Caenorhabditis elegans: one gene and its partners. The protein of the gene in region 2 interacts with the protein of the main gene of each other region in a pairwise test. Each region holds a gene or a part of one and is shown on either strand. Other genes may lie near its edges.

Region 1 (10,882 bases), on a different chromosome or scaffold from region 2:
CATTTCTAGATTACGGAATGTTTTGGGTATTTAAAAACAGAATCCCATTCCTTCATTTTCCGTTACTCCACCTTAGAGTTGCGAGTGATTCTAGCACCATTATGTCGTTAACGTCGTCGTTTTCCAAAATCATGCTGAGCTCATAGGCTAGAATGTCTGTATGTCGTGTGAAATCATATTTGGACTAAACTTTACTAAAGGGCTTCACGTGAAGTTCTATAACAATTCATTGAAACAATTTCGTTTCGCAATCTTTGATCAATTTTAGCAATTCGAAAATAGAACTGATAAGCAGAAAATTCAATCTCACACCACAAGGCAGGTGGATTTTATTCTCCTAATTTAGTTTGGCTCTGGAGCTCACAAAGCTCCGCGTGCACGCGCGCGCACATTTGTGTGTGTGTGTGTGAGACTTAACTAGTCGGAAATGATTCGAGTCTCTCGTTGTTTTCCGGAGACACCGATAACTTCGTTAGCCAAGGCTACGCAGGTTAGCCACATTTCCCATTGAATGATTGTTGGTTGGATGTCGGCTTTTCCTTTCCAGAAAGTATTACTATTTTTTCACCCAAATGTTGCTATAATTCCCTTCTGCCCCATATCCCCTGCCCCCGAAGGTCAAACCGCTTTCAATTGACGACTTCTACTACTACTACTGCGGTGTCTCTTCTTTTTCCTTTCAATCTTAGGTCTTTGCCTCCTTTGGTTTAACGCTTGTGTGTGTGTGTACGCCTCTGTGATAGCAAATGGAACATTTTCAATTCGGGGGCCGCGAGGTTGAAAAAACTAGGTCACTCGAATTGAAATCGAAAGTGAGAGACTCCGGGGAAACGAGGAAGCAAGAAGATGAAACACCTGTAATCATAAAAGAAGTCAGTTTGAACGGAAGACATGGGAGCCGTAATTCTCGAAGCGGATTCGGACACAGAAGGCTGGAGCTGTTGTGAAAAACAGCTCCAGCCTACAACTGAACGGGACTTGCTTTGGAGTCTGGGCCAGGGGTGGGCGGCTCACGACATTTTCCAACAAATTGCCGAAATCGAAAATTTCCAGCAAGGCAAATTGCCGATTTGCCGGAAAAACGGCAATAGCCGAAAATTTTCGACAAATTGTGTTTTTGCGCATTTTTTTTTTGAAATTCCAGAATTTCAATTTCAATCGGCAAAATTGTACGCATCCTATGAATGTTCCTACAACTATTTCGAAAAGTAAGAAAATTCTATGAAAATATATAAAGAAAACGAAAAAGTTTCAAAAAAATAGACACAGTTTTAAATCTTTCGTCTTTCTAAACATTTCCGGCAAATCCGGCAAATTGCCGGAATTGAAAATTTCCGGCAAATCGGCAACCCGGCAAATTGCCGGAATTGAAAATTTTCGGCAAATTTCCAGAATTGAAAATTTCCGGCAAATCGGCAAACCGGCAATTTGCCGAATTTGTTGGCAAAAAAATTGCCAAACGGAAATTTTTTTGGAACATATGTATTAATGTTTTTTTTAGTATAAATTATATTCGGTCACTCCTACATTTTACCAAATTAAAAATTATTCAAATTATCACAAGCTTTGCAACGAAAGGCGTCTGATTAAGCGACTATAACACCTGACGGGTTGTGCAAGCATCTTACCACCGTCTCGATGCATCATCATTCATTTTCTTCATCTTTCCTCCTCCGTTGTCTTCTCTCTATCGATTCGATTGGAAAAAAGAGGGGAGTATCTTCAGATGTCTACCTTCTCTCCGTCTTACATAGTGCCTAGATGACTATCTAAACTGTCTGCCACCCTCCTGAACATCTTTTCGTCTCCTTTTCTTCCCATCGTCACTGTTTTCTTTTCTTTCAGCGGGAGGTGTTTTATACAATTTGTATATTCTTGTCGTTGTCCTTGCAAGTTTGTTTTTTGTTGGTTTCGCTAGACTAGGTTCACTTTCGTTGAATACTACAGTAACCAGTGGCTGGCTCCGAGAGCAAACACTGTGCGGTAATTGGCTCCCCGTTTCTTGAGCAAACAAACCGTAATCTGCTCGGATATTTTGCTGAGAAAATTCACAATTTTCCAAAAATTCCATCCATTCTCACATTGTCAGCTTGGAAAAAAAGGTTCCCATTTATTTTTATGCCCTCCATTCCATTCGCCTCTTCCTCTTTCGACGGGACGGGGAACGTACCCATGAATTAGATGAGCCCCCGTCACACACGGCTCGCCTTTAGCCAATTCTCCGTTCCTCTTTCATTTTCGCGACTGACACATCCTCTCATTCAATAGTTCACATTTTTTGGAAGCTTTTTGGTTTTTTTTTCCGAGCCAGAAAGTTTGATAATTTGGCAATTGATGGCAAAATTTGAATTACATTAGAACATCTGAATAGTTGCAACATGGATATTTTTGTTAACCGTCTTACTAGGAAATTATCGAAACTGGCACTCATTTTACCCGAAAACCTGAAAATTTCGAGAAAATCGGATGTATGTCGGTTTTGGAATCTCTCCAGAATATCAATATATAAGAAAATACCAACTTACAAATTTTTTACGAACAAAAACATCAGTTTGAATTCTTTCGACTAATCGTTCTTGAAGATTGTATACAAAAACGTTTGAAATAAATGCTCTTTTTTCATTTTTGTTCAATAATTTTTTTTTCTGACAGTTTAAAAAAATATATTCCGATTCTGAATAGATGCGGGTAGTAAATGTCAACGTATATTCCACTTTCCCGAGATTCAGCCTTAGATTTATAGATTTTTGAACAGCTGCCAATCTTAGATTTCAAAAGATATTCGTTTTAGGACAAATAGCCAATGAATTCGAAAATCCTGAAATCATTCAGAACTACAGTAGACCAGCATTGTTTATTACAATCAGATGTGCTAAACATTTCGTATATCCTACAACTCTCATTATACTTCATTCTTATTCCGGAAGGCGTCAGTTTAACCGAGCATATGTTCGCCAGATGTTTTTAGTTCTGATGATCTGTAAGGTTGTTTTACACCACCCACCCAGGTGTTCGTAGATCAGGATACTTCGAGGCCAAAGCTTCCAAAAACGGAATCGGCGAGGATTAAATTAGGTTCCAAACCCTCGGGGCCAATGGTTTTCCAGGAAAAGCGGCATCTGGAAAATTACATACTGCGGGAAGTGTGAGAAAGTGACAACGGAAAACATATGTGCCGCACAAAGTCACACGGCAAGAAAGATTACATTTTCCCAATTCTCTAGTCATTTGACTAGATTCTTGCCTCTGAATTTTAGAGTCTGAAGCTTCTATATCCGAACAAACAACACTCCTAGGAACTTACCGTATCCTCTAGAATGTTTCAGGCTTTATGGCCACCTGTCGTATGTCACCTTCATTACCTTCTTTAAAGGGATAATCGTGTCGAGACCCTGACCCCCGTCCTGGCTGTCGTATCGTATCGTGTTGTGTGTGTTAATGATGTCGATTTACGCTTCACAAAAAAAAGATTTGTTCATTTTTTGCATTGAATGATTCTCATCATCACTGTGAAATGAAACGACCCGTCTCCCCTCATCGGGACAAAAAGACATAGAGAATAAGACGTGGAGATTGACAAATGGTCAGTTCAACACAATTAGCTATCCCCCTGCCGTCGTCTTCTTTCAATCTTCTCTCGTTGCACGGACCAGCAGTGATGGTGTACACTAAAAGAGATCTAAAGAAAATGCTCTCGGGAGCCTTTGGAGCTGTGATGCTCTCTGTGCTATTACACACGGTAGCTCGTGAGCATCCATCCTGAAGGAGCAGCTGTCTTCACTAAGTCTTCTAGGCTATCTTTACAACAACGGTGTTCTTTTGGTTCCGCCCTTTCTTTTCGGATAGACGAAGTATTTTCAACGTGTGTTTTGCTTTAGAGTGAAACCTTTTCAAAATTTCTCATTAGGCAGATTACCCTAAGAACTTACAACGAAATTTGCGTACATTTTTCAAATAAAACATGCCAATTTCTGGAGCCTGGAGGTAAGCTGGCTTCCATTTCATGTTAGAGAAAATGACTTCAGACATATATATTTATTTTCTTGTCATTCTTTTCTCCCTGCCAATCTTCAGGCTACTCCATTTATAATCGGTTTTCTTCCGGCTCCCCGTTGTTGCCTTTGCTAGGGGAAAATAAGAAAAACGAGATGACTGACATTATGAAAGACTGAACGTTTTGTCGGTTTTGGATCCAGAATGTATTAGCCGTCTGATACGCTGCAGCATAATTCGTGACACAGTTTCTGAGAATATTCTAAATTTAGAAGGGGAAAATCTTAGAATCCAGAACTGACCGAATCGTTGGAGAACATATAAATACGTTGCAGACAACTGTTTTATTTGTGTTCAACAAATACATAGAAGACGTCCCTTTGCTGGAATATATTTTTGTTCTTCTCTGTTTGTATTGTTACTGCCCCGCGCGCCGCAAAAAGCAGCAGCAGTCGGGTGGCGATAGTCTCTGAGAACAGTTCAAATTGAGGTGATCCCCGCCCCATTCATCAATATATTTCTTCCACATTTGAACTGATTAATGTCAGAAAAGAGTGAATGATTTGATAAGAATCTCTTCTCTGGCCAGAACTTTACACACACGGTCCTTGCGCGCACGCAGTACTGATAAACTCGGCTGATAACACAACATTTTTTCTCCCCCGTCCTTCTTCTCGTCTTCCAAATGTCTTAATCACCGTTAATACCGTCCTTCTCGGCGCGGTATCAGAGAGGCAAGAGGCAGACAAAGAGGTATTTCATCGATAATAGTACTGTTTTAGTTGTTCTCGCTTTCTATTTCGATTTTTAAGTATACAGCTCTAATAATGTTTCCCTCGGAAAAATATATCAGTTTTGGAAATCTATATCTATAATGGCTCTTGAAACGTATAAACATATTAGATCTAAAATGACCGATTACGGCATGTTGTTCCAAAATTGTTAATTTAAAACTCGTTCTGAAATGAAGTAGTTGTTGATCTGAAAATATAATAAGGATTTTTCCATATTTTGGCACTAACTTTTAATAAAAAAATGTTATGTAGAATTGGCAAAAGTATTTGACGATCTCTCTTCTCTTTCAATATACGGCTTATATTTCACAATATTTTTACAACCTATAAAGCAATATTATTATCGATAAAATACCTTTCGCTTTGATAATTACCTTGCTTCAAAGTTATTGCTTTTTATGCGTATAGTTGATTTTTCTATAGTTTTGACCATGAAACTGCTAGATTCGTGCATTTCCATTGCTTTTAACACTCTTTGTTAATTTCATCATTTTCATACTTTAAAAAAAAATTTCTCCATTTCAGACACATCTCCTCACACCACCATAATCTCAACCTTCCGAAATTCATCCTTCCATGATATGAGCGGAGCTGTGCTACCAGCAGTTCTAGTGGTACCAAAAATGGAGTCAGTAGTCGTTCCGATTGCGGAGTCCACCGTCATTAATGCCAAGGACACAACACCATCCACGGCAGCGGACAACGACGTGTCACCGTCCCCATCGGAGCCAGACACAGATGCGATCAAGATGTTCGTCGGCCAGGTAATCATACTTTCTCAAACTTTTATTCGAAAAGTGGGCATAATTGGCTCACCCCAATCTCCCAATTCGATTCAATTTCATGTATACATGCACACAATGAGACTCCCCCCGCTCATCCATTTACTGAGACACTTCACTACTACTACACAAATTTGATAAAACTGAATAACGAGGAGACGGGGTATTGGATTTGTGTCTATTTGGGTTCGACCCCCTTATTTTTTCATACGCGTTCATTACCATATAAATGATGAGGGAGGTTTTCTCGACTCAAGGGCATTCTCAAATTGATGAAGACGGACAATGATCATCAATTTTTTAGAGTAATGATGATAGAGAAAAGTAGGGCAACAACAAAAAGGGGAAAGATATGGACTTTTGCGGAGAGTAGGGTTTAAATTAACACAGTTGTATGTGTATTGAATTTTTGTGAAAAAGAATGAATCAAATATCCACATGACATGTGGCTTTTTATGGGAATTTCATAGCTCTCTCGAACAATAATAAATCGTGGGAATAATATTGCAAGTCATATTTCATATTTTTTTTGTCATTTCAAACACGTAGCCAACATCTATATTTTTCGTGATTTTCCCAAAGATAGAAATCATATTATTCTGAAAGTTTAAAGGTGGAGTACCGAAATCTGAGACTTTGATTTTTTAGAACCAAAATAGCCCAAAACTACCGAATTTCGTTCGTAATAAGACGTTTTGAAAATTTCTCAAAAAAAAGTTATTTAGCTGGAAATGACCTTTTTTGCAGAACTTTGAACCGCCATAACTCTGTTTTTGAGAAAATTTCAAAACGTCTCATTACGAAATTTGATAGTTTTTGGTCATTTTGGGTTTGAAAAAGCAAAGTTTCAGATTTCGGTACCCCACCTTTAAATTACATCAATTTTCAACAAATAATGGGGTTTTTCAAATAGTGTCGCGAAATATCACGAAATTTATTGAAATAAAATTAGACTGTATTTCAATACATTTCGCGACACTACTTGAATAATTCCATAAATCAATTATTTTAATAGAAAAATGACATTTTAAAATTCAAACTCAACGCAATACAAATTTTGCAGATCCCTCGCCAGTGGAACGAGACAGACTGTCGGCGATTATTCGAGAAGTACGGATCAGTGTTCTCGTGTAACATACTCCGTGACAAATCGACACAAGCTAGCAAAGGCTGCTGCTTTGTCACATTTTATCACAGAAAAGACGCGATAGAGGCTCAAGGAGCCCTTCACAATATAAAGGTTATTGAAGGAATGCATCATCCGGTACAAATGAAACCAGCTGATACTGAGAACCGAAATGGTAATTTACTGATAAATATAAAATAGTATAAAAATTACAAGAAATAATTTATTTCAGAACGAAAACTTTTCATCGGCCAGCTCAGCAAGAAGCACAACGAGGAGAATCTGCGTGAGATTTTTGCCAAATTCGGCCATATTGAAGATTGTAGTGTGCTTCGTGATCAGGACGGAAAAAGTCGAGGTAAGTGGGGGAAGGGCGCATTAAGTAGGGTATCTTTTTCAAAAAAGTGTAAAAATATTTACCTGTCTCTATGCTCTTTTTTACTATTTTCTCTATGTTTTCATCATTTTCTGTGTCATGCATGTTGAGCGAAAAGGTGGGAAGAAGAAGAAGATTCCGAAATTCGAAATTGAGCTGATTTACACGTGGCAAAATGGTCTTGATACGATTGTCACAGGGTTTAGAACATTTTCTAACAAAGTTGGTAAATTTGGATGTATGACTTTAAACCCAACATTTTGAAATTTTTGGCTAGTACCCTCAAAAAAATGCGTGGTGTGTATCAGGAGTGTGCGGCAAATTTTTGCCGGTTGCCGGTTGCCGATTTACCAGATATGTTCAATTCCAGCAATTTGCGGTTTGCCGATTTGCCGGAAATTTTTAATTCCGGCAATTTGCCGACTTTCCTGAAATTTTCATTTCTGGAAATTTGCCGATTTGCCGGAAAAATCGTTTGCCGCCCACCCCTGATTTGACCTTTTGAGTTTTGAACTACAGTAACCCAAAAGGTGGACATTTTTGGCTAGAAGTTAGAAAATTATAAAAAGCTGTGAATTTGAAGAGCAATGTTTCGGAAAAAGTTAGTATACCTAGCTTTAACGAAACTTTCAATTTTCCGGTATTTTTAAAATAAATTTTTAAAAAATTGAAAATCAAAAATATGTTGATCCTAATGAGAGTCAAAAATAGAAGTTATTTAAAATTGGATTTTTTTCAGAAATTTTTATCCAATTTTCCGATTATTCAATTATCTTGATAAATCCTCGATTATCGATATTCGATGCCGATATTCGATCGATATTGAACAAAGTTAAACTTTCGAAAACTAAATATGTCAAAATTTTTGGGTTACTGTAGCTTCAAAAGCTAATATAAACCGACTACAGTACCCCAACGTTTTTGAAAAATTTCGACTAAAAAATTAAAAAAAAAAAAATCATAATTTTCAGACCAAATTGCCACGTGTGAATTACAAAAAAAACAAATTTCTGTTCTACAAAATCAAAGTAACGTCCTGATTTTTTTTTCGAAAAAAATGAAAGTTTCATTTTCTTGCCCTGGTATTCTATGTAAAAGTAACAAGTGAGTGTCGAAATAAAAGTTTGAAGTCTGAAATTGGCTTCACACAACATATACCCAATGTCGATGATTCCTCTATCTCTAAATGTTAATCAATATTTTCATATTTGTTTTTTCTCCAACAGGATGTGCATTTGTAACGTTCACAAACCGCAGCTGTGCCGTCGTCGCCACCAAAGAAATGCATCACTCGCAAACGATGGAGGTTCGCATATAGCTTTTTGTCTCTTTTTTATATTTATTTTTATATGTTTCTTGTATGTATGGGAACCCTTCTGCTGTAAACTCTAAATTTAATTTAAAATCTCTGAAAATTGTCAAAGTTAAACGGAAAAGTGTGTTTTACCAATTCTATTCATTAAGGATAGTGTAGTCAAGATGTTAGTGTCTTTAAAATTGCTTTATTAGACTCAAAATTGTCTGAAAACTTTTTCGAGAACTTTTCGAGAATTTTCATTTTTAAATTCGGTGTGTTCAGACAATTTTGAGACTAATAAAGCAATAAAAATTCGTCACGAGAAAATATTAACTACTATAGTTATTATGAAATTAAAAATAAAAATAAATTGCATTTTTCCTGAAGTTTAAAAGGTAATGTCAAAATTTAAAGCAGTTTCACTAATTTTCTTATGAATGTGGTTTCCATGTTGAGTGTTGAATTTTCAAAGTCATATATTTTCCCATGCTTTATTTACAAATTTAGATTATATGTTTAGAAACGTAGTTTTTTCCTTCATCATTATTCAAAAATTACAATTTTTATAGGTTCTTTCTATAGAATTCTAATTTTTAAATCAAATATTGCAGGGATGCTCAGCGCCGCTTGTTGTAAAGTTCGCTGACACTCAAAAAGACAAAGACGTGAAGACGAAATCAATGATCACTGGAAGTGGAGCCGGTTCACCGAAAGGAGGCGCGGCAAGCTTGCTTCAAAACTTGAATCCGGCGCTGTTGCAGCAGGTAAAATATTATAAAACATCAATATTTTGTTCCTAAACCAAATCAAAAGTTTCAGCTCGGCGGTGGACAAAACTATCAAGCAGTAGCCTCACTTTTGTCTCTTATCAACGGACAACAGGGACAACAACAGCAGCACCAACAGCAACAAAATGTTTTAGGAATTTTGGGAACAGGTAAACTTAGTTGATAATCATTAAAAAATTGTACACGTAGTTCAATAAAATATAATAAAACTGAAAAAAACCCACGGTCGCAATATCCGATTCAGTGCTCTCTGCGCTCGGCAAGCTAACCGAAGGCGGTGACGACGCGTCGGCAAAGTCCTCATCGGAAAAGCCACGCCACCAAGCGTTGATGACGTCACCGGCACCGACTGCCACGTCATCAACCTCATCGTCGGCTTCACATCATCACCAGCAGCATCAGCAGCAGTTATCACAGCAACAACAACAACAACAACATCCGCAGCAACAAGGTTTAGGTGGGAAATTAGGCTTCTGAAGGTTGCCTTGTGGATGATATATGAAGTGTGTGTTCTCGTATCCCTCTCGTCGGAATGTGGACACTACTGTGTGCTTAATCTCTATTTTGGTTGCTCACCCCCCTCATTTTCTCATTTGCCACGTGGATTGATTGATTGGACGGAATTTTCGCTTACTGTGTTCTCGATAGCCTACTGTGTGAATCATCCTTCTTACTAACACAATATTTCCGAAAAAAAGATTTGTGCGTTAAGTATGACGCATTCGGTGTTTGCAGACACACCGATGTAATGCATCACAATTGACGCGCAAATTTGTCGAAACAGAACGATTTACCTTTTTAGCTAAATTCACGAATAGGTTGTTTTTGTTTCGGCAGTAGCGTTTTATATCCGCTAATATAACATAGCATGTTGAATTAATTGAATGCAAAGAGTGCATAGTGTGTTTTCTTTTATTGGGGTTTGATTTTTCCGTCCTGTGCAGCTTCAAGTTATCCGATAAAAGTTTTTGCAGGTAACCCATTGCTTGGAAATCCAGCTATGGCTGCTCAAAATCAATTCGACGCTATCACAATGGCACAGATTGCTCATCAACAGCAAATGCTGGCACTCCAAGGGTTCGCCGTGCAACAGGGCGCTCCAAGCCAACAGCAACAAGGTAGAATTTAGCACTTTTTTCTCTCAATTGCAGTGTGCGTGTTTCCTTACAGCTTTTTTCCATAATCTAACCTATTTCTCCACATTTTTTCTAACCTATTACTATCCCATGCTTGCATCAATTTCAGGACTATTTCTTGCTCATCAATACTCGACAAACTACTCAACAGGGTCACCGGATTCTGCTTCAAATGCCACTGACTCATCGTCGGATGACAACAATGTGATGAACAATCGTTTGACACCGACGTCTAAAATGGCTCAATATGGATATGGGCCCTTGATTCCTCGTCACCCAGCTCAGCTTTACTTGCAGCAACGGTTTCCTGCGACTGCCGCGGCCTATGGTACATATTACTTCTATTTCCAAACGCTTTACGGTTTTAGGTGTGAAGCAACTTTGCATGCATTTTCCTATTTTCCTAAAATAAGCTTCTCCGCACCACCTTTCTAACCATTAGGCTCATTACCTATTCATTTTTCACCTCAAATAAAGTTCCAGGACTTGCCGGTGGAATGGCTGGTGCAAAGACTACATCACCAGTCGCTGCATCGCTCGCCAATCATCAACAGATTGCGTTGACCCCATTTGCAGGAGGAGCCGCCGCT
Region 2 (10,882 bases):
TCTCTCGAAGACTCTGAGACCCCATAAATTGGATTTGGACACGTTGCAGAAAGCCATGGCAACGGATCCTTTCCAAATCACCCGTGAGCTGTCAACCACACTTGGGTCCCGTCAAACCAACATCGTACAAGATTCAGTTAATACAGGGTGGCCCATAACTATGCGGACCGCAAGTCGTACTCATAAAATCTGATTGGAACATTCAAAAATATGATAACAACACATATTTTATTTCAAATTTTCTAAGGAACAAAATTTGTTGTCAAACTTTCAAATTTTCCGCTTGTGAAATTCTACAGGCCTGCTGACATTCCTAAAAAATTTTGACGTTGGCACGCAACTCATTGGTGTTCTCCTTTTTGTTGTCATTTCTAGGTTCTATTGCAAATATCATCACTTTAGCAATCATATTTGGATTGACTTTTTTCTGAGAATCCGTTTTGCAATAAAATTCATAAATGTTTTCATCTGACATTGATGTGGTCATTGATTGAAGGGAGACAAATCAAGAACATCAGAAAGCCGACGTTCCACTTGGCACATCAGTTATGTAAAAAGTGAATGTTTTGATAAATAGCCATATGATTCTACTAATATTTTTCTTTCCTTGTGGCAACAATTATGTGCTTATCTCATTTTATGGCTGATATATACCAAAAACTGTCACTAGCTATTGAACTCCTTGTAAAATCGGCTGTAGTTACTGTCAAACAATCACCCAACAGGAGCTGGAATTTCATGGAACCAATTCCATATACTTCAACATTTATTAAAATATATTTTTCGCTTCCAAAATGTATACATTACTGTAGAAAAGATCGGTTTCGAAATTTCCACACTCAAAAATCGATGCGTGTCAAAGAGTCGTCAGTGTGGGAGATGATGCTAGTTTGACGACTCTGCCTAGATTGCGTAGTTTAACAAATCACATTTTTTTAAAGTTAGCTAATAGGAAAACATGTCAGCTATCAATGAACAAATAAAACAAAAATTTAAAATTTGTCAGGCGAGAAAAAAACATATTTTTGTGAGAGCAACTCGGTCCGCATAATTATAGGCCACCCTGTATTATTATCTCCTCATTTGTTTTAAATTTCTAATTAGATATCTAAGAATGCGAAGATTTATAAACAAAATCCCCTCACCATACTCAATTTTAAATATTGTTAGACTTTCTAGTCTTTGAACTTCATTCGAAAAAGTTTCAGAATATTTTAAAAATTTAATCATTCTATCGTGCTTTAAAAAGGGTTTTAAAATTGAGAGATGGGATATTTGGAACGGTAGTTTAATTTTATAACGTTTTGTTTTCAGTGGTGGCCAAAATGTCTCGAGCAGCTTAAAATAATTATTCTCTACCCTCATTTCGGTTAGTTATTCTACTATTTACTATTTGTAGATGGTTTCTCAAGGCATTTCAATTTTTTTTAATTTTCAGCCTGAAATGTCATTCGGAAGTGTTCAATGTCATCTACTACCACTACTATCAGTTTTAGAATTTACAGGATCGACAACTTCAATCAGTCAGGATATTATATTTTCAGAGCCAGTTTTTTCTTCTTTCACAGGTTCTTTTCCCTATTTTTTTGGATGGAAAAAATTCGTCAAAAAATTATCATTCATTCTAAAAGTATCATTCTGCCTAGTACTGTATTTTTTGTTTTAAATTCGATCTACGAAACTACAATATAGTATTGCATTATTTCTTACTGTTTGCCAAGATGACCTAATGCTGCAACTAGTTCCTGTTGTATCCATCTGCCTTCTGTTTAAACCCCCGTTCATTACAACTACTTCCAGTTTCTGCATCACACGTGATTAGGTTTTGAAATCGGTTTATTGTAAACATTAAATGCAGGAACATGTACGACTATTACGAACTCACCATATGAAATTAATTTGCAAATTCAATGAGGATGTGCAAATGGCACATTAAAATCAGGCAACTCTGGCGTTTCGGGAAAAAATTGAGAAGAAAAAACATCGAACGTGTAGAAACCCACATCAGAGATTTGTAATTTGAAATGAATAAGAAAAAAATTGACAAAATCAAAAAGAACTGTGACTAAAATTGTAAAGTATATGGGAATAAAGTTGAAATTGGAAGACTAGATAGAACTGTTTGATTTGCGTAAGAATCTGATATTTGGGTAGGACAAAGTTGTAAAATTATCAGTATAACTCGGGCAAATACCTATGTTCTCTATTGGCAAAATCAGTTGGCGAATTATTGCTGGGACGACAATGACAATCGGTTTTATGAATGAGTGAATGACAAATTGAAGAATATTATTAGGATTCTAGACACGTTGATGCTCAAGCTGTTGTTGTGCGGCAGCTAATTGTTGCAACTGTGGGTTTCCAATATTGTAGGCAGATTGGGGAACTAGGCCGTATCCTGCTGGATAGGCGGCGTATTGCTCAATTGTTGTAGGGGCGGCTGCGACTGAAAATGTTTTATTAAATTTGAAAAAAAAAAATTTTTATTTAATTTTAACTTCCTATCGTCGAACATACATTTTCCTTGGGACTGAATACCATAAGCGGCGGCAGCTTGTGGGTTCATTACTGCGGCCAGAGCATTATAATCGAACAATTGTTGCTGAGCAGCGGCTCCTTGTTGTGCCATCAACGGATTGACCAGTCCTGTGACAGTCGGATAATACATTTGAGGAAGTCTAAAAAAAAGTATTGATTAATTACCGAACACGGAATTGACAGGAGGATGTAAATGCCAAATGCTGGAAATGAGGCAACAGTGTTTATCACAATATCACCCAAAAAACACGCACATGCGTGATAAAAATTCACTTTTTTTGGTTCTGGAAAGTATAATTATTTTTGTTTTTGTTTTAACAATATTAAGAAACTCCACATTTTTTCAGTTCAGTTTTTTTGAGTTAGTGCAAAAGAAATATCTAACATATTTGGATAGAATGAAAAGTAAAATCATTGACAACTTCAAAATTCCAAAAAAAAAAGTATCAGAAAAGACGTAACCAAACTATAGCAAAGTTTAGAAAATGCGTGATGGTTTTAGTTAGGCAGCCAAACCCATTGACCTACAAAGAAATAATCATCAATCCCACCAATGAAGAAAACAACTTTGGGGTGCTCAGTTCATTCAGGACTATGCAAGTTTTCACCAAGGGAAAAGAGAAAAACTCGAAATCATATAGGTTTGGGAAATAGGTGAAAATGAAGAGAAAGAGAGTATGGACACGTCAAAAACACAGCACTATTGTATTCCGCTTTTGGTTTGGAAAATGAAAGTAATGATATTGGCACACGTCAAAGCACGCCTAACCTTTAGTTTTAGGCATCCACGGATTTCGATTCAACCGGCCACTTGTCTTAAAATATTTTGGTTTACAATCATTAATATTATTTAAGTTATTATTAAACGTGTGAAGATGGTTGAACACAAGAGTACTTCTCAAGTATCCTAGGCAACTTTTGAGCTAGAGCACAAAGTTCTACAGTGTTTTGTCATTGCTGTTGTTGTCGTGTTGTTTCTTTTTTCTGTATCAACACAACTCAATTAGCGGTGATTTTTGGATGAGATAGGAATTGTTGGAAGTATGTCACACACAGGCAAATCACCGAAACTTACCCCATTCTTGGTTGAAACAAAGCCTGAAGTTGAGTGGTGAGTGGAAGTTGAACTTGTCCAGCGGCCAGCGCTAAAATGACCAACTTGGTGATTTTGGTTAACACAGACAAAAACTGAATAGAGATGCGCGACACAAACAATATCCTTTGGTTATGAAGGTTGTGGAGGATTGATAATGTTTAGCAGAAGCCAAAACACACGGGGAGAATAAAATGATCTGAGAGCTGCTCAAGAGCCGCACAAAAATTCGAAACTTACCAGCAAGTTGCACATTTGTTCTTGGTTTAGCTCCGAGGTATGCCAAGTTGACATTAGCCTTCCTTCCATCAATGATTGGATTTGGATCTTTACAAGCTCTTTCTGCAGAAGCACGGTCCTTCATTGTTACCTGAAAAGTTATGTTTCATTAACAAACATATGTAAAGATCATGTTTTTTTGCGAAGAGTAATCTTTCCATCTTTGCTGTTGCAACTATTTGTTGAGATATATATGGTTGGGAAATGTTTGCTAACAAAATACGCGTGCGATTCCTATGAAGAGCCGCTTGAGAGGTCAAAGCAGAACCGCGAGATTTCGGAAATTTGAAGATTTCTTCATCCACCTTGTTCCCGAATTATTTTCCAATTTAGTGAAGTTAAATCAAACGAAATTGTTTCCTCTTTTATCTGGACGGACAAGATAAAAAATGGTTAATCATGTCAAAAGTGATTGATGATTAGAAACCGTTTCGTTTCAATTGACCTCCAACGTAAGATCTCGTGAAAAAATATCGCAAACTAGAAATTTTTGACATTCCAGTGACTTACAAATCCATATCCTCTGCTTTTTTGTGTGTTACGATCAGTGATGACTACAGCCTCTTCAATATCTCCAAACTGCTCAAAATACTCGTGAAGCGTCTTGTCACTTGTATGGTATGGCAGACCACCGACAAAGATTTTGGTGAACATGGTATCACGGGAACCTGAAAATGAATGGAGATGAACTAAAAAATTTGAAATATTTCCAGTTTCTATTCCTATCGCAAGTCTTCTTTTAAGTGGAACCATATGTGAGGTTACACACAAAAGTTGCATACCACTGTCATTTTTCCCTATCTTTTTCCCTCTCTAAACCATCATCATGTGACAATTCGATGGGGATCACAGGAAACTCACCAACTACTGGTTCGGCGTTGGTTGATTGTGCCAAAGCAGCGGCAGCAGCATGCACCAGTGGATCTTGGACTTGGCCGTACATTTTTTACTTGATTTATATAGGGCCTAGCTTAAATACCGTGAAATTGACCTGCAAAATGTTTTTGTTTGAAGTTTTGTATATATATACATAGAAATATGAGAAGTTTATAAACGATAATTTAAAAAAACATATACAACATCGAAGGTGTGAATCAATAGGAAATGAGCTAGAGCCAACATGAAACTGAAAACTTTACACTGCTATTATCTATCACTCGTCATGATCAATGAGTTATCAGAGACCTTACTTACCTCAGAGACCACATAGGTAGAGATAGTGAAAACTAAACGAAAGGCGACAAATCGCGAGAGAGAGATAAAATAGAAATGGATAAGAACGAGCCGACGAAAAGCTCGCGCGCGCACAAAATCCGTAGGTCTGTCTCCGGTGGTGGGTGAGCCTGTCAAAGTTTTGCTGCTCTCCAAACAGAAGCCAACCACCGCCCGCCTGTCGTCGCAAAAATTGACTCTTTCTTTCCAACACTCTTCCCCCCGGTCAATTTTTGCCATAATATTTCACCACAATGAGCCGTTGCGCAAATAACACCACCTCTGGAGTATCGATTTATGTCATGCTGATCCAGAAAAAAAAGATTGAAATCGATGAAGAGAAATAAAACGCGAAATAACAACAGAGCTCAACTGACAACGAGTGGGTGGATGTTGGGATGAAGTAAAAGAAGAAGGAGGAGAAGAATAAGAAGAAAGAAGGCTCAATCAAAGGATGCGACAAGGAGAAGTTGCTCCAAGAAGAAAAGAATAGAGACAGAATGAAGAAATAATCCATCTCTGATCACATTGCATTCATGATGTGGTGGTGGGAAATACAGAATAATACTTATACTGTAAGATGTTATTTGGAAAACAATTACGAACTGCAGTATAATTTTTTGTTTTTCTTTTTCTGTGTGAAATTTTAGCTGAGAGGAATGTACAGAGGATTTTGAATTTGGCGGCGATTCAAAAATGAAACAACCATTTGTTTGTGCCCAAAAATAGCAAAGAGAGCCCAATTTGTTGCGATGCTACAAAAAAAGAAAAAAATACCGTTCGCTCAATGTGCTCGGACTAAGACGTTCGCATGTTTGGACAATCCGAGAAAGGCAGCGAAAACAGTGGGAGGCAAAAGAAACAAACTGATGCTCTCCTCCTCCCGGGGGCTAGTCTTGTTTTTCGGGAATACAATTGCTTCAAATCTGTGCGTTTCGAGTATGGGAGTCTTTACCGCCCCTCGTCCTCACCGCCTGATTAAACAATTGGAGGACTTGGAAAGCTGTTGTTGAACGACGCAGAGCACTCTGAATATGGCGGTTCGTCACATTTACATGGAAAAACTTTAAGGATTCTTATGTGAAGTGCCATGTGCATTGAAAATATGGGAAAGTGTTGAAGATTTGAAACCCGGACGTGGTGGTGTTTCTCATCATATCAGTTTATCTTCGATAGTAAGCACAGAGACCGTATAAACCATGCAGAGAGGAAATTTCACTTTTTTATGTTATTTATGTCCGTCCGCAAAACTTCGAAGACACATGACTGAATGAAACTGTTTGTTACAAAATGATTGATTAGAGGGGGGGGGGGGGGGGGTAGAACTAAAACTGGAAGGGCTCTGAATACCAAATACCAGAACCAAATTTTTTACTAAAGGTGAAGAAGCTTTACAAATAGTGGGGAAAAAGGGGATACCATCGAGTTTTTGCAACTTTTTGAGAAAACTATAGCACTGTCGCATGTTCAAATCCGTACAATGTGTGAATATTAATAATTAAAACTGATGGAGACCATCAAACTGTAAGGAACATGTTTCAATCGATGACTTCCAAAAAAGTGGCAAAAACTGAGTAGTAACTACTTTTCAAAACAAAATAACAAAATTTCAACAAATAAAAAATTTTTGACACTATTTGATGAGCTTTTAACAATTTACATACTAGCTAGCATCATCTTGAATGATTCAAAATTAAAGAGAGAAAATAAACAAGCTCAGGTGCATCAAGAGCAGTCAGCTGAGTTTTTTTGCCGGATGAGCGCCAGCAGGAGTAGAAGAAGAAGGAGGTAGCAAAAATATATTTCGAGTGAAAAGAAAACTGGTCTTAAAGGCGGTTGGTTCATCGCCCCGAAAACAAATAGGCCAAGAGCCAACGAAAAAGTGCGAGCGCGAGCCGTTGAAGAACGAACGAAACATGAAACTTTCCCCGGCTCGAGGCCTACGGCCTGGATCGGGAACAATCTACTGAATTGCTTCACGCGGCGCGAAAAACATGCATTTTTCCATCACCGACGACGTGCGCACTGATGATGTCTTAGGGCATGCCTTTGATAACGGCGGCAGATGCCAAACCTGCTGATGTGGTCGCAAAAGAAATAAATAAAAAGTCAATTATGATTACGCGTGTTTTCGGCAATCGTCTCATTTATTTCATCTTCCTTTCTTCGAAACACCAGGAGAAAGTGACAGAATGAGTGAGGGAGGGGGGGGGGGGGGGCCCGGGGAGGGTTAGGGCAGAAACATTTTGAGACTTGTAAACAGTTGACATCTCTACCAGTGCAATAAATATACATGTTGAGCTCCTGTAAGCCACTCTGGTGGTCCTCTGGCAAGCAGACGCACCAGATGCCTGCGCAGAACAAATGTCGTAAGAATCGTGAGGCGATGGAGTGGCATAAAGGATTCATAGGGCTGCTGTGTTAACTGCTGGTACCAGCAGCAGCCTAAGATTATCATTCCACGAAACAGTAGTCTAATGCATAGATTAGGAGAGGCATACATTGGTGATGAGGAACGTTTTCTAATAACTGAAAACAAGAAACGAAAGAAAATGTCAGGAGAAACTTGTGATGGTGGAAAAATTTCATAATGGTTGAGAATAGAAAAAAGTCATTTACTTCCCGAATGCACAAGAAGTTCTAAACAAATTGGAAATACATTGTTTCACTTCTAAACATTTCTCAACTAGCTCGCCTTTATTTCATTTAACCTCTTCTTTTCAAAATACTCCAACCTCATCTCTCTCTCTCTCTCCCTCTCAATTTTCAATCAGTATCTGGAGAAATTCGATTTGCTGCTCCTATTGTGCAGAGAATTTCTAAGAGACCCCTAAGAGAGTGAAAATACGACACCGTTTCGAATGGATAGAGTCAATTGCGATGGAATGTGATGCGGTTAATCGAGCGAAAAGTGAGACGAGATGGCTGAGAACTGTAACCAATTGGAGGGACGAAAAACGGAAATCGAGACGTGAGAGGAGGCGGCAAAGAATGCTGTTGATTGCGTTTATTTTGGCACAAAGAGCAGCTAATTGAACAAAAGAGCTGAGAGGAGGATAGACGACAATAGGGAAATATGATGATAGATGGAAAAAAATTCTTGTCGAAAGAGCAAAATGTTAGAGAAATGGGAATTATGATCAACTATGGGTTTTGAGTAAAATATTGAAATATGGAGAGGTTCTGGAAAAATAAATTAGAAATAGAGGTGCAAAGAAAATATGCAAATAAATTAAACAAGCGAGCGCGTGCGATATTTCAGTTTTATTCACTTTGTAGCGACGGGAAGTGAAAGCCTACCGACTAACAATACACATAGTTAGAATGAATGAGGCCCGTCATCCATCTCGCTTTCGCCGCACGTTGTAAAGTGTCCAGGAATCGAATCCCGAGTCTGAATTCCAGTGCTTGTCTCTTCTTTATCCCTCTTCCCGCCGAGCATTGTGAGCGTGGGGCTCGGCGGGAAGGCAACTGTCGAGCAGCTGCTGACAACGTAAACACCATTCTTCAACAGGTCACCCTCCGCCACGACAAAATCGCTTTTTGCTGCTTTCTCACTCAGTTTGTCGGGGGGGGGGGGGGGGGCTCGGCGAGCTCATGCATTGTCATGTTTATGCTCGCCGTGCAGTCGCGATGGTTTAAGCATACAGATTATGGGTGTATGACTGTTAAGGATGATGGACATCGATTCGCGGATGAAATTGAGAAGAGTTGTGTTTCGGAAAAGTTTGGTCGAAAATTGCGAAATTTTTATGACAAATTAGTTTGCTTATTAGGACAATAGGGTTTGTTTAACAAATATTCAAAGTTTTTATATTCCAATTTGAATAGTTTGTTCGGCTAAAAAATTACCTATTACAGCACTAATTCATAACAGTTACCAAATAGTTTTGTTTTTTGCCATTTTTTTCGAAATTTAATAAAAAAATTGTTTAACACCTACAGATGAAAACAGAAAATAAATGGACAGACTTATACTATTCTTAGTATTTAAAAATGTTTTGGAAAATGGTTCACTAAAGTTAGGCAAAAAGTTTTAAATACGGCGATGAAGTAATAATTTTTTAGACATTGTTATGAATGAACAAATGAAGTGGCCTTGCACAAATTTTAACAAAGTTTTGAATTCCGAGAAAAATGTAATATAAACTAAGATGTGGGCTATCTTTGCTGGAAAAATGATTGGAACGGTATCAAGAAAGTTTGAAAATTTGAGAAGAAAAATTTAAAATCACATAAAATTTCGAAAACCCCTATTGAGAAACTGATGTTACAGAAAAATGTTTTTTTTCCCGAATTTTTATTAAAAATTTTCCAAAATACTTCGAAAACATTTTTTTTCCGTTTTTTTTTGAAATTGCTTATTTAATAAACATATTTGTCTAGCATCATTGTTTCAGGAATATTTGCAATATTTCCTAAGAAAAATTTAAGCGGAAGAGATTTTTTTCAGAGTGCTATAAAGTTGAATTGCAATTTAAAAGTTCCAATTTGTTTGAAACATTGGTCAGAAAATACTTTTGAAAGTGAAGTGGAAGTGACTGTTATAAAATGTAGTTTCAGAACTTGTTACGTTCTCACAAACCGTAATGTATGCCAAAAAAGTGTCGTCTTGCTTGTTTTAAAACTCGGTCCAAAAATAAAAATCTACTCTGAGTACCTACTTTTTTACCTAAAACAATTAGTCAGTTTAACATGGTTACAAAAAATGAGAATTTTGTAAGCTAAGATGGAATCAATGGCAAAATTCGGAAAGATACAAAGGTTGGCAAACAAGGACTACAAAACAAAGAAGCAACTCTCCGTGCTCTTTGCCTAATGCAGGTGTACGTTTCAATAGATTGAGTCCGTGGGAGTTCTAGGAGAAAAGGACGTGGGACCTGTGAACCTCCTTCACTTCTTCATCTGCTTCTTCTCTTTCTTTCTTTGTTTCGCCTCTCAAAAATGTGACGAATAAAAGAACGACATGCAGCAGAAGAGGAGCCTCACTCTTCCTCTCTCGGTCCGGATGGATCCTCCTCTACAAATTCCAATTCAATGAATTTCTGAGAGAATGCGTATGACGGACATATGGTTGCCAAATGACCTGAACTTGCCGATGGTCACTCTTTTTTGTGCTCAATGACTTTTAACTTTCCACCAGAATGAAATAAATCGAGAAGCTAAAAAGAAAAAGAAGAAGGAATAGAAAAAGTTAAAAAGTGCTAAACGTTAGTTGACATTTTGAAGTTGAAAATAAAATAGAGAATGATGACGAATAGGAATAGGCTTCCAACTGGGAGGAAATGTTTATATTGAAAAGCTGGCAATTTTCACTGCTTTTCATAGAGTCGTCTCTCACAAACGTGCGCCACCTTTTGTCAAAATTTACAATAATTTGCCATTGTAGGTTTTTATATAATTTACTGCTTCCTGCCGGACTTGAAACGAGCCACATACAACCGGCAACACACGCACATACACACACACAATAGAAGACTTCGACGTGGACCACATCAATTATTGAACATTGTGCTTTTTGGGAAGGTGGAGAGAAGAAAAGAATTTCGGAAAAACTCGGGTATAATTCAGTTGACAATGAGAATAGTTTTTCGGTTTTTCACTTTTTCACAATCGTCGTCACTCCCTCCCTCTCCTTCATAACACCACCCCTCAAACTCACAGAGCATATGGCATGGAGCTTAAAATCTTTGTGCAAGGATTATGAATGGTCCATACCACCCCTCTTTTAACTATCAACAAAATGGTCCTCGAGGAGAA
Region 3 (10,882 bases), on a different chromosome or scaffold from region 2:
GGCATCTTTTGCCTTTTTATTGAGCCTTTCAGGCCCTTTTTTAAGCCATTTTCAAACATTTTTAGGCTTAAAATTAGGCCTTTCAAGCTCTTTTTGAGGCTCATAGTTTTCTTTTTCAAACCAAGCTTTTCTGAGCTTTTGCTGCTCAAACTCAAGTTGCAATTGGTTTAAAATGGAGTTTCAAGCCAATTTCGAGCCTCTTTAGGCTTTTACTAAGGTTTTTCGATCTAAGCTTTTCTAGCTTAAAACTGAGCTATTTCCTGCTTAATTTTGAGCTTTTCAGACTTAAAATTAAGGCTTTTCAAGCCGAAATAGGCCGTTCAAGCTTTTTAAGCCTCTCCGAGCCAAGTTCACCTACTTTAGCAGGTTTTCGGGTCAAAAAATTGGAATTTTTCCAATTTTTTTACTCAAAAAATCCAAAAAAACTCACGTAAAAAATGGCGGAAAATCGTATTGCCAAGGCCATTTGAATGCTGAAGCTGTAGTAGTTGCAGCAGCCATCTAGAATAAAATAGAGTAAAAAGGGGACCACCACCTTCCCTGGGAGGAATCCTCAATTGAGAGAGAGAGGACGAGAGGGAGAGAGAATTATAGACGCAGAGAACAACCACGCGCGTGTGTGTGTGTGTGTGTGTGTGTGTGTGTCTGACAGCCCAATCAATACACACTCTCTCTCTCTCTCTCTCTCTCTCTCTCACACACAGCCCTCAGAATCTCCCAGAGAGAAAGAAGGAGAGAGAGAGAGAGAGAGGATAAGACAGAGAAAGTAGGCGAGAGAGTAGGCAGGCAGGCAGAGGGCACAGAGAATGCCGGGTGCCCCCCGCACGCCTCTCAGGCCCCCCAACGACACAACGCGTCGTTTTCCCCTTTTCCCCAGATACACACACACTGTGACTGGCTGGGGCTGACTGCTGCTGATGCTGCTTTCACCAGTTTTTCCCCCTTTTTTCGGCGTTTTTTCCACCTTTTTTCAAGGTTTTTTGTGTATGAAAAGCCTCTCCGGTGAGGCTCTAGCCACGTGGAAATCGATCAATAAATGAATCAATACTCGCATGTGGAATGTTGGGCGTTTTTCGATCGATTTCTAGGAGTTTTTCAGAGAAATTCCGACCTTTTCACCTCTTTTTCAAGGCTTTTTCGAAACCTTTTCCCATGAAAATTACCCCGGTGAGGCTTTAGCTTTGTGGAAATCGATTAATAAATCAATCAATACTCTCACGTGGAATGTTGGGCGGTTTTCGATCGATTTCTAGGAGTTTTTCACAAGAATTTCGACATTTTCAAGCGATGTTCACCTCTTTGTTAAGGCTTTTCCCAGTGAAAAATATCCCTGTGAAACTCTAGCCACATGGCAATCGATCAATAAATCAATCAATACACTCATGTGAAATTTTGGGCGTTTTTATCCCAATTTCTAGGAGGTTTTCAGAGGAATTTCCACTTTTTTTAAATAGGTTTTCCTATTTTTTTTAAGGCTTTTCCGTACGAAAAGCTCCCAGAGTTCAAGCTTGCCACGTGGCAATCAATATCGCCTCGCATTCCTCCCTATCACAGACACACTGTTAATCAGTGAACTGGTATTTTCTTTTCTTTTTTTTGGTGTCATGGTCATTTGGCATTTATATCAGAAGGCGAGGGTTTCTCTCGTGATTTTTTACTTCACTTTTCCACCTTTTTTTTTCGATTCGTGGCGAGACCCATTTATCGATTTTATTGATCGATGATGGGCTTCAGGGTTAATCGTAAGCCGCAGCAAATTTTGAACTGAAATCCGCCATTTTAGAAAAATTTTTTGAGTTGAAAATTCACTTTTTCTCACCTTATGAACCTTATGAGTTGAAAAAGTGATTTTTTCAGTGATTTTCAGCAGATTTTAGGGCTGAAAAAGTGATTTTTGACGCTAAAATCTGACTCATCACGTGAGAAATTAATCCTTTATTTTCCGTTCTTAAGCTCATTTTTGGCTCCGTAGAGCAGCAAAAAATCCAAATATTTTCCAGGTAACTCCAGCTGGAGATGAACTCCGCACCGCTTCTTGTCGACCCGAGCACACAATCGGCAACCGTCGTTGCCGAAACTCAACCGTTCGGCGATCGTTGCATGCTGGAATCCTTAATTCGTCGGCCTTTCTGCATGAATCCACAGCTTCAGACACATCCGTACGATCGGCAACCGACAACTGCGCCGAGGGTGAGTACCATTTTGGTCATTTCTAACCGAAAAACTGGGAGAATTTTCAGCTTCAAATGATGCCACGCCGAGATCAGACACAAAATCCAGTGATCGCCGAGCTCATGAGCACCGTGACTCGTGTGAGAGATCGGAAGCGTCAACGAGATGAGGAGGCGATGTACCCGCGACGAAGTGTGGGACTGCAGACCGACACTGAAGACGTCTCCGAAGTGCTCGATGGGGGCACTCGCATTTCCGATATGAAACGGGTTCGGCGCGAGGTAATTGGTTTCGGGGGCGGAAGGTCGTTAGTGGCGGCTTCGGATTGACTGAGAACTTCCGGTGGGGATGGCTGGAAGCCTTGGGATCCTCTGGATCCTGAGATCCAAAGGATCTCTGTAGCTTTTTTGATTCACAAGATAGGCATGGGTGATCCCACTGGAAGATCTGATAACTGAAAGAGAATCCTTATGATCCTCATCTAGGTAGCCTAGGATAAGCATCGGAACAGGAGGATCTGCCTCTGAGATCTTTGGGATCCTCGGATATACCACTTGAGCTTAGGATTTTCAGAAAGATCAGTAGATTCTAGCGGGTTACGATCTTTATATTCGGCTAGGATCCTGAGCTAGATCAACTAGTCTTTTACTATAAAAACATGGTTTTAAGGATCCTTGGGATATTATCAATCTTTAATAATTTCAGGAACTGCTCGACCAATCATCACTCGACGGTATCACCTTCGAAACATCCGGAACGAACACTTCCGATGAACCTCATTCACAAATAATCACGTCAAATTCTTCATCTCTACCTTCAACGTCAGCATCATCGTCATCAGACCGCCCTCGAGCCATGCGCAGCAACCAGGAAATGCGACAAGCTCGACGAGCCCGTCGCCAGCGTCAGACCCAGCACGAGTCACAGCGGATGCAATTGGAGCATCGTCTTCAGCAGATTACGGGTCCTGTTCCCGGTTCAGAACACAACTGTATGACGGGATGTCCACACCTTCATCAGCAACAACAACAACAGCATCAGCAACCGCTTCTGCATATCCAATTGAATCCAATTCCACCTCAACCACAAACGGGTCCCAATTCGGTGTCGCCGACGATTGCTCCAGGAGCCATGCTTCGTGCGCATCCACTCGCATCAACATTCCCCTATTTTTCACTGCCACTCACACAAAACTATCCGGTGATGATGGTACTTCCGATGGCAGCAGTTGCTCAACAACACGCTGCAGCCGCTGCAGCAGTAGTCGCCGTCGCGGCGGCGGCAGCGGTACCACAACCACCTCCACCACCTCCACAGCCGACGCTTCACGCTCCGGTTCCGATTCGTCCGCAGAACAATCCGTACAATTTGTACGCCTTCAGAAATTCACCTATTAATGTGGTGAGTTCTTTTTTCTTTTTTTGAGCTATTTAATCATTTTTCTTTACTGAGAAAACGTTAAGCTTTCGATTAATTCAAGATAATCCGTGTTGGGATTAGAGAAAATGCTCTTTGGCTCCGTGGGTGGGCATCGGGCTGAGGTTTGAAGTTTAAAAGACCGTTTTTGGGCCAATTTCAGGCTTTCAGCTGAATTTTGAGAATTTTATTGGTTCTGGAGCAGTTTCACTTGGTGGTGAAGTGTCCCATTTTGGTTTGATCTTCGAAAAATGCGGGAGAAGAGACGCAGACTTTTCAACTGATTTTGCATGGTTAAGAGTGTGCTGACGTCACATTTTTCTGGGAGAAAAATTCCCGCATTTTTTGTAGATCAAATCGCAATGAGACTGCCTGACACCACGTGCAGTTTCAGAAGTTGCTGAGCGTTTAGCAGCAGCAAAATTGAGCACTTTGAAGCTCCGAAAGTATTAGGAGCTGAGCTCCAGAATCGTAGGCTTCTATTTTTCAATAAGGCTGCTCTTGGAGCTTCAGGAGCCAATTTTCTAGATTTTAAACTTCTTGAAACTTCAATTTGCACAAACTGACGATTTTAAAGTTTTTATCGAGAATGCAATTTTCAGGCCAAAAAGCGCTGGGAGTCAAGCTCCACAGTGTTACGGAATTTCTAGTGTACAACAAGGTTCTCCATGAATTTTTGTAGCTTCTAAACCACTTTTCGAGTTTGAAAATTGCTGTTATCACTGAAAAATGCGAATTTTCAGCTCTGAGAGCCGAGCTTCAGAGTCTTAGGCTCCTACATTAGAAATAGGGCTGCTCTTGAAGCTTTTCGAGATTTTTAACCTCTCCAAACCGAATGTTTTTTCAGCACGCACCAGGCTACGTTGGAGAATACGTTGAGCTGTTCCGTTCCCAGCAATTTCTATTCCCGACGTCCGAGCGATACGGAATCGATCGGCATCATATGTTCGGTGGACTCGATTTGGATCTTCCAGTCGGTGCCTCGAAGGTGGAAATCGACACATTCACGATTCCGACGGTGTACGCGAAGAAAACGGACGGCGAAGAGGACGAGGACACGTGTACGGTCTGCTTGAGCAGTTTTGAGGATGGAGAGGTTGGTTTTTGGAGCATTTCTAGTTGTTTTTAACGTGATTTTCAATGATTTTCATGTTCAGAGCATACAAAAACTACGATGCAATCACGTTTTCCATCCGGAATGTATTTATAAATGGCTGGACATCAACAAGCGGTGCCCCATGTGCAGGGAGGAAATCGATCGGCCTGAATCTTTGAGAACACAGCCTGGTTTATGAGTTTAAATCCACTTTTCTTCGTTGTTTTGTCGGCTTTGAATATATAAATATATATATTTTTTCGCTTTTTACGTCTGCCTTTTTCCCCCCAGTCTCTCCCTCATCCCCTTTGTTTTCCAGTAGGATTTACCATTTTTCTGAACATAAAACTTGAAAAGTCAATAAAAATTTAATTTTTTTAAAGATTTTAACAAGAAAAACTCACCGGAATTGAAGAAAATAACAGGAAAATATGTAGTTTAGCAGAAAAATAAATGGAATTAAAAATAAAAAATAGTTTTCTGAGGAGTACGGTAGACAAAGTACGCAAACACGGCGACGCACAAATGCACGCGCAACAAAAATTTTGGCCCAATTTCGAAAATGATTGTTTTATTTTAACATTTTCATTTTTTGTTCGAATTTTCAGATTTTTCGCGTGAAAATTGCGATTTTTGAGTAAAAAATCAATATTTTTGAGTTAATTACCCCTAGAATAGCTGCTAAAACGGCAGAAAATCGATTTAAAATTGTGAAATTCAAAAAAATTCAGTTTTCGCGGGAAATTTCAAATCGCGAAATCATCTTTTTTTTTCTCTAAAAATTCTGATTTTCCTTCGAAATATCTTATTTTTTCAGAATATTTCTCCAAAACCATGCCTTCCTGGAGAGAAAAACACGAGAAAATTGTCCAGTCCAAGATTTTGGTGGGTTTTAAACCAAAAAATACGTTTTCCATATCGAAAATCTCAATTTTTCAGGTTATCGGCGCCGGTGGCATTGGTTGCGAGCTGCTGAAAAACCTGGCGGTTACGGGATTTCGAAAAGTCCACGTGGTAAAATTTTTCGTCGCGAAAATCGCTTAAAAATTGAATTTCCAGATCGATTTGGACACAATCGACATTTCCAACCTCAACCGTCAGTTTTTATTCCGAAAAGAGCACGTTTCGAGCTCGAAAGCTGCGACGGCGACACAAGTTGTGAAGCAATTCTGCCCACAAATAGAGCTAACCTTTGATCATGACAGTATCTTCGAGAAAAAATACAATATGGAGTTCTTCCAGGCATACGACATTGTTCTCAACGCTCTGGACAATCGAGGCATGGAAAATCATCTTTTCTGGCAGAAAAATCTGGAAATTTGGCTTTTTTAGCGCAAAAAAGAGCCAATTTAGCCTAAAAATGTGTTTCTAACTACAAAAAGCAAGGAAAACATAAATTTGCTATACAAAAGTTTCACAAGTGAAAAAGTCGGAAAATGTGACATTTTTGCCGGAAACGCTCAAAAACGTGTTTTTATTCACATAAAACGCGCAGAAATACGGTTTTACACATAAAAATCCTCAAAAGCAGTATATTTTACCTGAGAAAAAAGGAAAAATGACTTTTTCCTGCTGAAAATAGTAGAAAATTTGCTGTTTTGGAAGGAAATTTCACTTTTTTCTAAAAATTATCCAATTTTCAGCGGCAAGAAACTATGTTAATCGGATGTGCCACGCGGCAAACCGCCCACTCATCGATTCTGGATCCGGTGGTTATTTTGGACAAGTTTCGGTGAGAAATTCGCTATTTTTGATGAAAAATTAACGGTTTTGGCCTTAAAATGTGATTTTTGGCTTCAAAACACAAATTTAACCGAAAGTTAGTAATTTTAAGTTTTAAAAATACATTTTTACGTTAAAAATTGCAATTTTTCCAGGTGATCATGCGTGGAAAGACGGAATGCTACGAGTGTGTGGATAAGCCAGTTCAACAGACAACCTACCCGGGATGTACGATCAGAAATACTCCAAGCGAGCATATTCATTGCACAGTTTGGGCGAAACACGTCTTTAAGTGCGTAAAATTGACGAAAATTCCGATATTCAACGGAAAAATAAAAAATTTCGCACATTTTCTGGCTACGTGGCCTTCCCGCAACTCATTTCACGCCAAAATGCGGATTTTGTGCATTTTGTCGTAGGATCCGACGGTGTTTGCGTACTTTTGAGACTACCGTAACCCGAAAATACCAGAAAACATAGAATCTAACGAGAAAAGGCACAAATGTATTGAAACTCAAGATTTTTCGCCGAAAAACTCTAAAACTTGAGCGAAAAGTTTTTTTTTTTTGAAAAATTCGGTTTCAATTTCGAAATTTTATGCAGAAACTGACTAAATTTGCTGAATAATGGATATTTATGGCATTATTCAGGGCATTTAGTCGATTTTTGCTTAAAATTTTGAATTGCAAGCCGAATTTTTTAAGGAAAAAATAAACTTTTCGCTCAAGTTTTAGAATTTTTCATGAAAAAATCCAAAATTTCGAGACATTTGTGCATTTTCTCGTCAGTTTCTATGTTTTCTGGTATTTTTGGGTTACTGTAGCCTTAAATGTACGCAAACACCGTCGGAGGATCCTCGGAAATTTGTGCACTTTGTCGTAAGATCCGGCGTTGTTTGCATACTTTTGAGGCTACAGTAATCCAAAAATATCGAAAAAAAAACCGATTTTTCAAGGTTTTAAAGCAATTTTTAAATTTTTAATACGTTTTCAATTTCAGTCAGCTGTTCGGTGAGGTGGATATCGACGATGACGTGTCACCGGACATGGATGCAGTGGATCCGGATAATACTGAGGCTGTTACCACTGAAAAAGAGAAAGAAGCAATGAAAGAAGAGCCCGCGCCAGTTGGAACACGTCAATGGGCTGAAAGTGTGGATTATGATGCTGCAAAAGTGTTCGACAAGGTTAATAACCTGGATTTTGCGCGAAAAAATGTGAAAAATTGGCTGGAAAATCGGAAATTCCGCAAAATTTCGATGGAAAACTGGAAGAAAATACGATTTTTAAGCCAAGAAATCACAAAATCTAAGTTTTTCGGCCTAAAAATTGAGATTCCGTCGCAATTCTTGATTAGAAAAACCTTTTTAATCCAAAAAATGGATTTCCGGCACAAAAGTCCAATTTTCAAGTGATTTCTTCTCGTTTTCACCCAAAAAAATCGACTTTTTCACTGTTTTTACCACTAAAATAGCCTAAAACTTCAAATTTTCAGCCTGAAAAACTCAATTTTCACTTAAAAAATCGACGTTCCCTGCCAAAAACTCCATTTTCTCAGCATTTTCAACCCAAAATCCTCTAAAAACGTCAAATTTTAATTCAAAAATTAGAATTTTTCTCTATTTCCGGCTCCAAATCTCTTGAAATTTTAAATTTGTAGCTAGAAAAACTCGATTTTCACCAAAAAATCTAATTTACCACTATTTTCAGCCCGAAATTAGCCAAAAACTTGAAAACTTCAGCCAGAAAAGCTCCATTTTCACTCGAAAAGAGAAATGTTCACCCAAAAATACGCTTTTTCTATAATTTTAGCCCAAAAAACTCGATTTTCACTCGAAAAACCTATTAAATCTACAAATTACCATGTTTTTAGCCAGAAAGGTGGATTTATATTCAAAAAACCATTTTTTCCACAATTTTTCAATTTTTATAATCGAAATTTAGCCAGAAAAGTTTTATTTTCACCCTAAAATTAGAATTTTCCCACCAAAAATCCTGTAAAATGCCAAATTTTAATACAAAAATTAGAATTTGAAACTATTTCCTCCCCAAAATCTCTTGAAATTTCAAATTTCAGCCAGAAAAACGCGATTTTCATTCGAAATTATCCAAAAACTCCAAATTTTCCGCCAAAAAATTAGACTTGCCCTGCGAAAAATTCCATTTTTCCACAAGTTTCACAATCTAAATCTCTTGAAATTTTAAATTTTTACTCAGAAAAGCTCCATTTTCACACTCAAAAAATAAATGTTTTCCACCCAAAAAACCTCCTAAAACCCCAAAATTTTCAGCTTTTCCTGCACGATATCGAATATCTTTGCAAAATGGAACACCTTTGGAAACAACGAAAACGTCCATCACCACTGGAATTCCATACAGCTTCATCTACCGGAGGAGAGCCTCAATCCCTGTGTGATGCTCAACGTGATGATACTTCAATTTGGACACTGTCCACGTGTGCAAAAGTCTTCTCCACGTGTATTCAAGAGCTCTTGGAGCAAATACGGGCGGAGCCAGACGTGAAGCTGGCTTTTGATAAAGATCATGCAATTATTATGTCATTTGTGGCTGCTTGTGCCAATATTCGAGCGAAAATCTTTGGGATTCCGATGAAATCACAATTTGATATTAAAGCAATGGCTGGAAATATTATTCCAGCAATTGCATCAACTAATGCAATTGTTGCTGGAATTATTGTTACTGAGGCTGTGAGGGTGATTGAAGGATCAACGGTGATTTGTAATTCGAGTATTGCGACGACTCAGTCGAATCCGCGTGGACGGGTGCGGTTTTATGGATTTTTTAATTGAAAAATGTTAAAAATCCAGGAAAAACAGCTGGAAAACTCGAAAATTGTCAGGAAATTTCCAACTTTTATGTGGAAAATTTAACGAAATTCATAGTTTTTCGCTTGAAAAATATAAAAAATCCGAAAAAAAGGTGCAGAAAAAACTGAAAATTCAGTGAAATTCCAACTTTCAAGTGGAAAATTTAGAAAGTTCATGATTTTTTTGTTAGAAAAATACGGAAAAAACTGCAGAAAACTCGAAAATTCCTGTTTTTACGTGAAAAACCTATGAATTTCATTTTTTTTTTGAAAATCATTAAAAATCCGGAAAAAAGCTGCACAAAATTCCAGCTTTTATACTAAAAATGTAGCGAATTTTAGATTTTCAGCCAATTTTTTTGGTGAAAAAACTGGGAAAATTCGATGAAATTTTGATCAAAAATTTTTTAAACACAAATTTAAAAATGCGACGACTCAGTCGAATCCGCGTGGAAGGGTGCGGTTTTATGGATTTTTTAATTGAAAAATGTTAAAAATCCGGGAAAAATAGCTGGAAAACTCGAAAATTCCAGTGAAATCCCAGCTTTTCTGTGGAAAATTTAACGAATTTTGGATTTTCAGCCAATTTTGAATTTTTTTTTCGATTAAAATATGAGAAATTCAGGACTTTTTTGATGAAAAAAACAGGAATCTCAAGTTTTTTGCGAAAAATTTCGAAGTTTTCAGCCAAAAAATGCTAAAATTTCACCTAAATTTCCAGAAAAGGCCGGAAACGTCAACATTTTTGCAAATGTTGCTGTCTTTTTTCTCAAATACGGTATTTTTTGAAATATTTGAAAATGCCTAGAATTTAGAGTTTTTAAAACTTTATAATCAAACTCTGTGGAATTATGAAATAGCATGGAAAACTCGAAAATTCCAGTGAAATTCCAGTTTTTTTGTGGAAATATTTGAAATTTTATGATTTTTCGTTGGAAAAATACGAAAAAACTGCAGAAAACTTGAAAATTCCATGCTTTTATGCTGAAAATATAGTGAATTTTGAATTTTCAGCCAATTTTTTAGTGAAAAATACGAAAATTCAATGAAATTTTGATTTTAAAAAAAGTTTTTTAACACAACAATTTAAAAATGCGACGACTCAGTCGAATCCGCGTGGAAGGATGCGATTTTATGGATTTTTTTAATTGAAAAATATGAAAATGATTTTAAAAATGTGAGAAATAAGGAATTTCGATGAAAATTTTTTGATTTTTAGCCAAAAATTCTATTTTTTTAGCCCTAAAATTCCAGAAAAGGCAGAAATTTCAAAACAAAAATTGCGAATTTCACAGTTTTTCTCACAAACACCTAGAATTTTTAGTTTTTTTTTTCAAATGTTCTAATCAGAATTAAAATTTCCCACCATTTTCAGCTCAAAAAGTGGCTGAAAACGCAACTTTTCTGCATTTTCAAAAGAAAAATTGGAATTTTGCAGTTTTTCTATGAGTTTTCGACTGGATTTTTTTTGAGTTTCCACCGAGCTAATTTCTGTGAAATTCCATTTTGTACATTTTTTGAGTGAGAAAATCCATCAGAATTTCAAAAATTTTACAACAAAAAATGGATTTTGTGATCGAGATTTTCGGAAAATTAGGATAAAATTAGATTTTTCTAAAGAAAAACCAAAAATTATTGTTTTCATGTTTT

Evidence for each region.
Region 1: the proteins of sup-12 (region 2) and etr-1 interact in a two-hybrid assay, tested with the Caenorhabditis elegans proteins (one large-scale study listed by BioGRID).
Region 3: the proteins of sup-12 (region 2) and toe-4 interact in a two-hybrid assay, tested with the Caenorhabditis elegans proteins (one large-scale study listed by BioGRID).

What each region holds. Positions count from the first base shown.
Region 1 is NC_003280.10:157,774-168,655, forward strand, and holds the start of etr-1 (RRM domain-containing protein), read left to right. Parts: upstream 1-5,327; 5' UTR 5,328-5,368; coding exon 5,369-5,551; intron 5,552-6,632; coding exon 6,633-6,870; intron 6,871-6,927; coding exon 6,928-7,053; intron 7,054-8,297; coding exon 8,298-8,377; intron 8,378-8,979; coding exon 8,980-9,132; intron 9,133-9,187; coding exon 9,188-9,305; intron 9,306-9,400; coding exon of another isoform or gene 9,401-9,613; intron 9,614-10,121; coding exon 10,122-10,274; intron 10,275-10,401; coding exon 10,402-10,620; intron 10,621-10,769; coding exon of another isoform or gene 10,770-10,775; coding exon 10,776-10,882.
Region 2 is NC_003284.9:3,898,610-3,909,491, reverse strand, and holds sup-12 (RRM domain-containing protein), read right to left. Parts: upstream 4,902-10,882; 5' UTR 4,854-4,901; coding exon 4,772-4,853; intron 4,579-4,771; coding exon 4,421-4,578; intron 4,002-4,420; coding exon 3,872-4,001; intron 3,684-3,871; coding exon 3,614-3,683; intron 3,354-3,613; coding exon of another isoform or gene 3,338-3,353; exon of another isoform or gene 3,308-3,337; intron 2,679-3,307; coding exon 2,518-2,678; intron 2,447-2,517; coding exon 2,301-2,446; 3' UTR 1,821-2,300; downstream 1-1,820. Other genes in the region: T22B2.5 (Neur_chan_memb domain-containing protein), read left to right, coding at 1,315-1,348.
Region 3 is NC_003279.8:12,736,087-12,746,968, forward strand, and holds toe-4 (RING-type domain-containing protein), read left to right. Parts: upstream 1-2,000; 5' UTR 2,001-2,016; coding exon 2,017-2,190; intron 2,191-2,240; coding exon 2,241-2,453; intron 2,454-2,877; coding exon 2,878-3,573; intron 3,574-4,435; coding exon 4,436-4,684; intron 4,685-4,745; coding exon 4,746-4,883; 3' UTR 4,884-5,060; downstream 5,061-10,882. Other genes in the region: vps-25 (Vacuolar protein-sorting-associated protein 25), read right to left, coding at 431-501; SUMO-activating enzyme subunit uba-2, read left to right, coding at 5,519-5,569, 5,624-5,698, 5,744-5,963, 6,328-6,416, 6,562-6,698, 7,406-7,592, 8,697-9,188.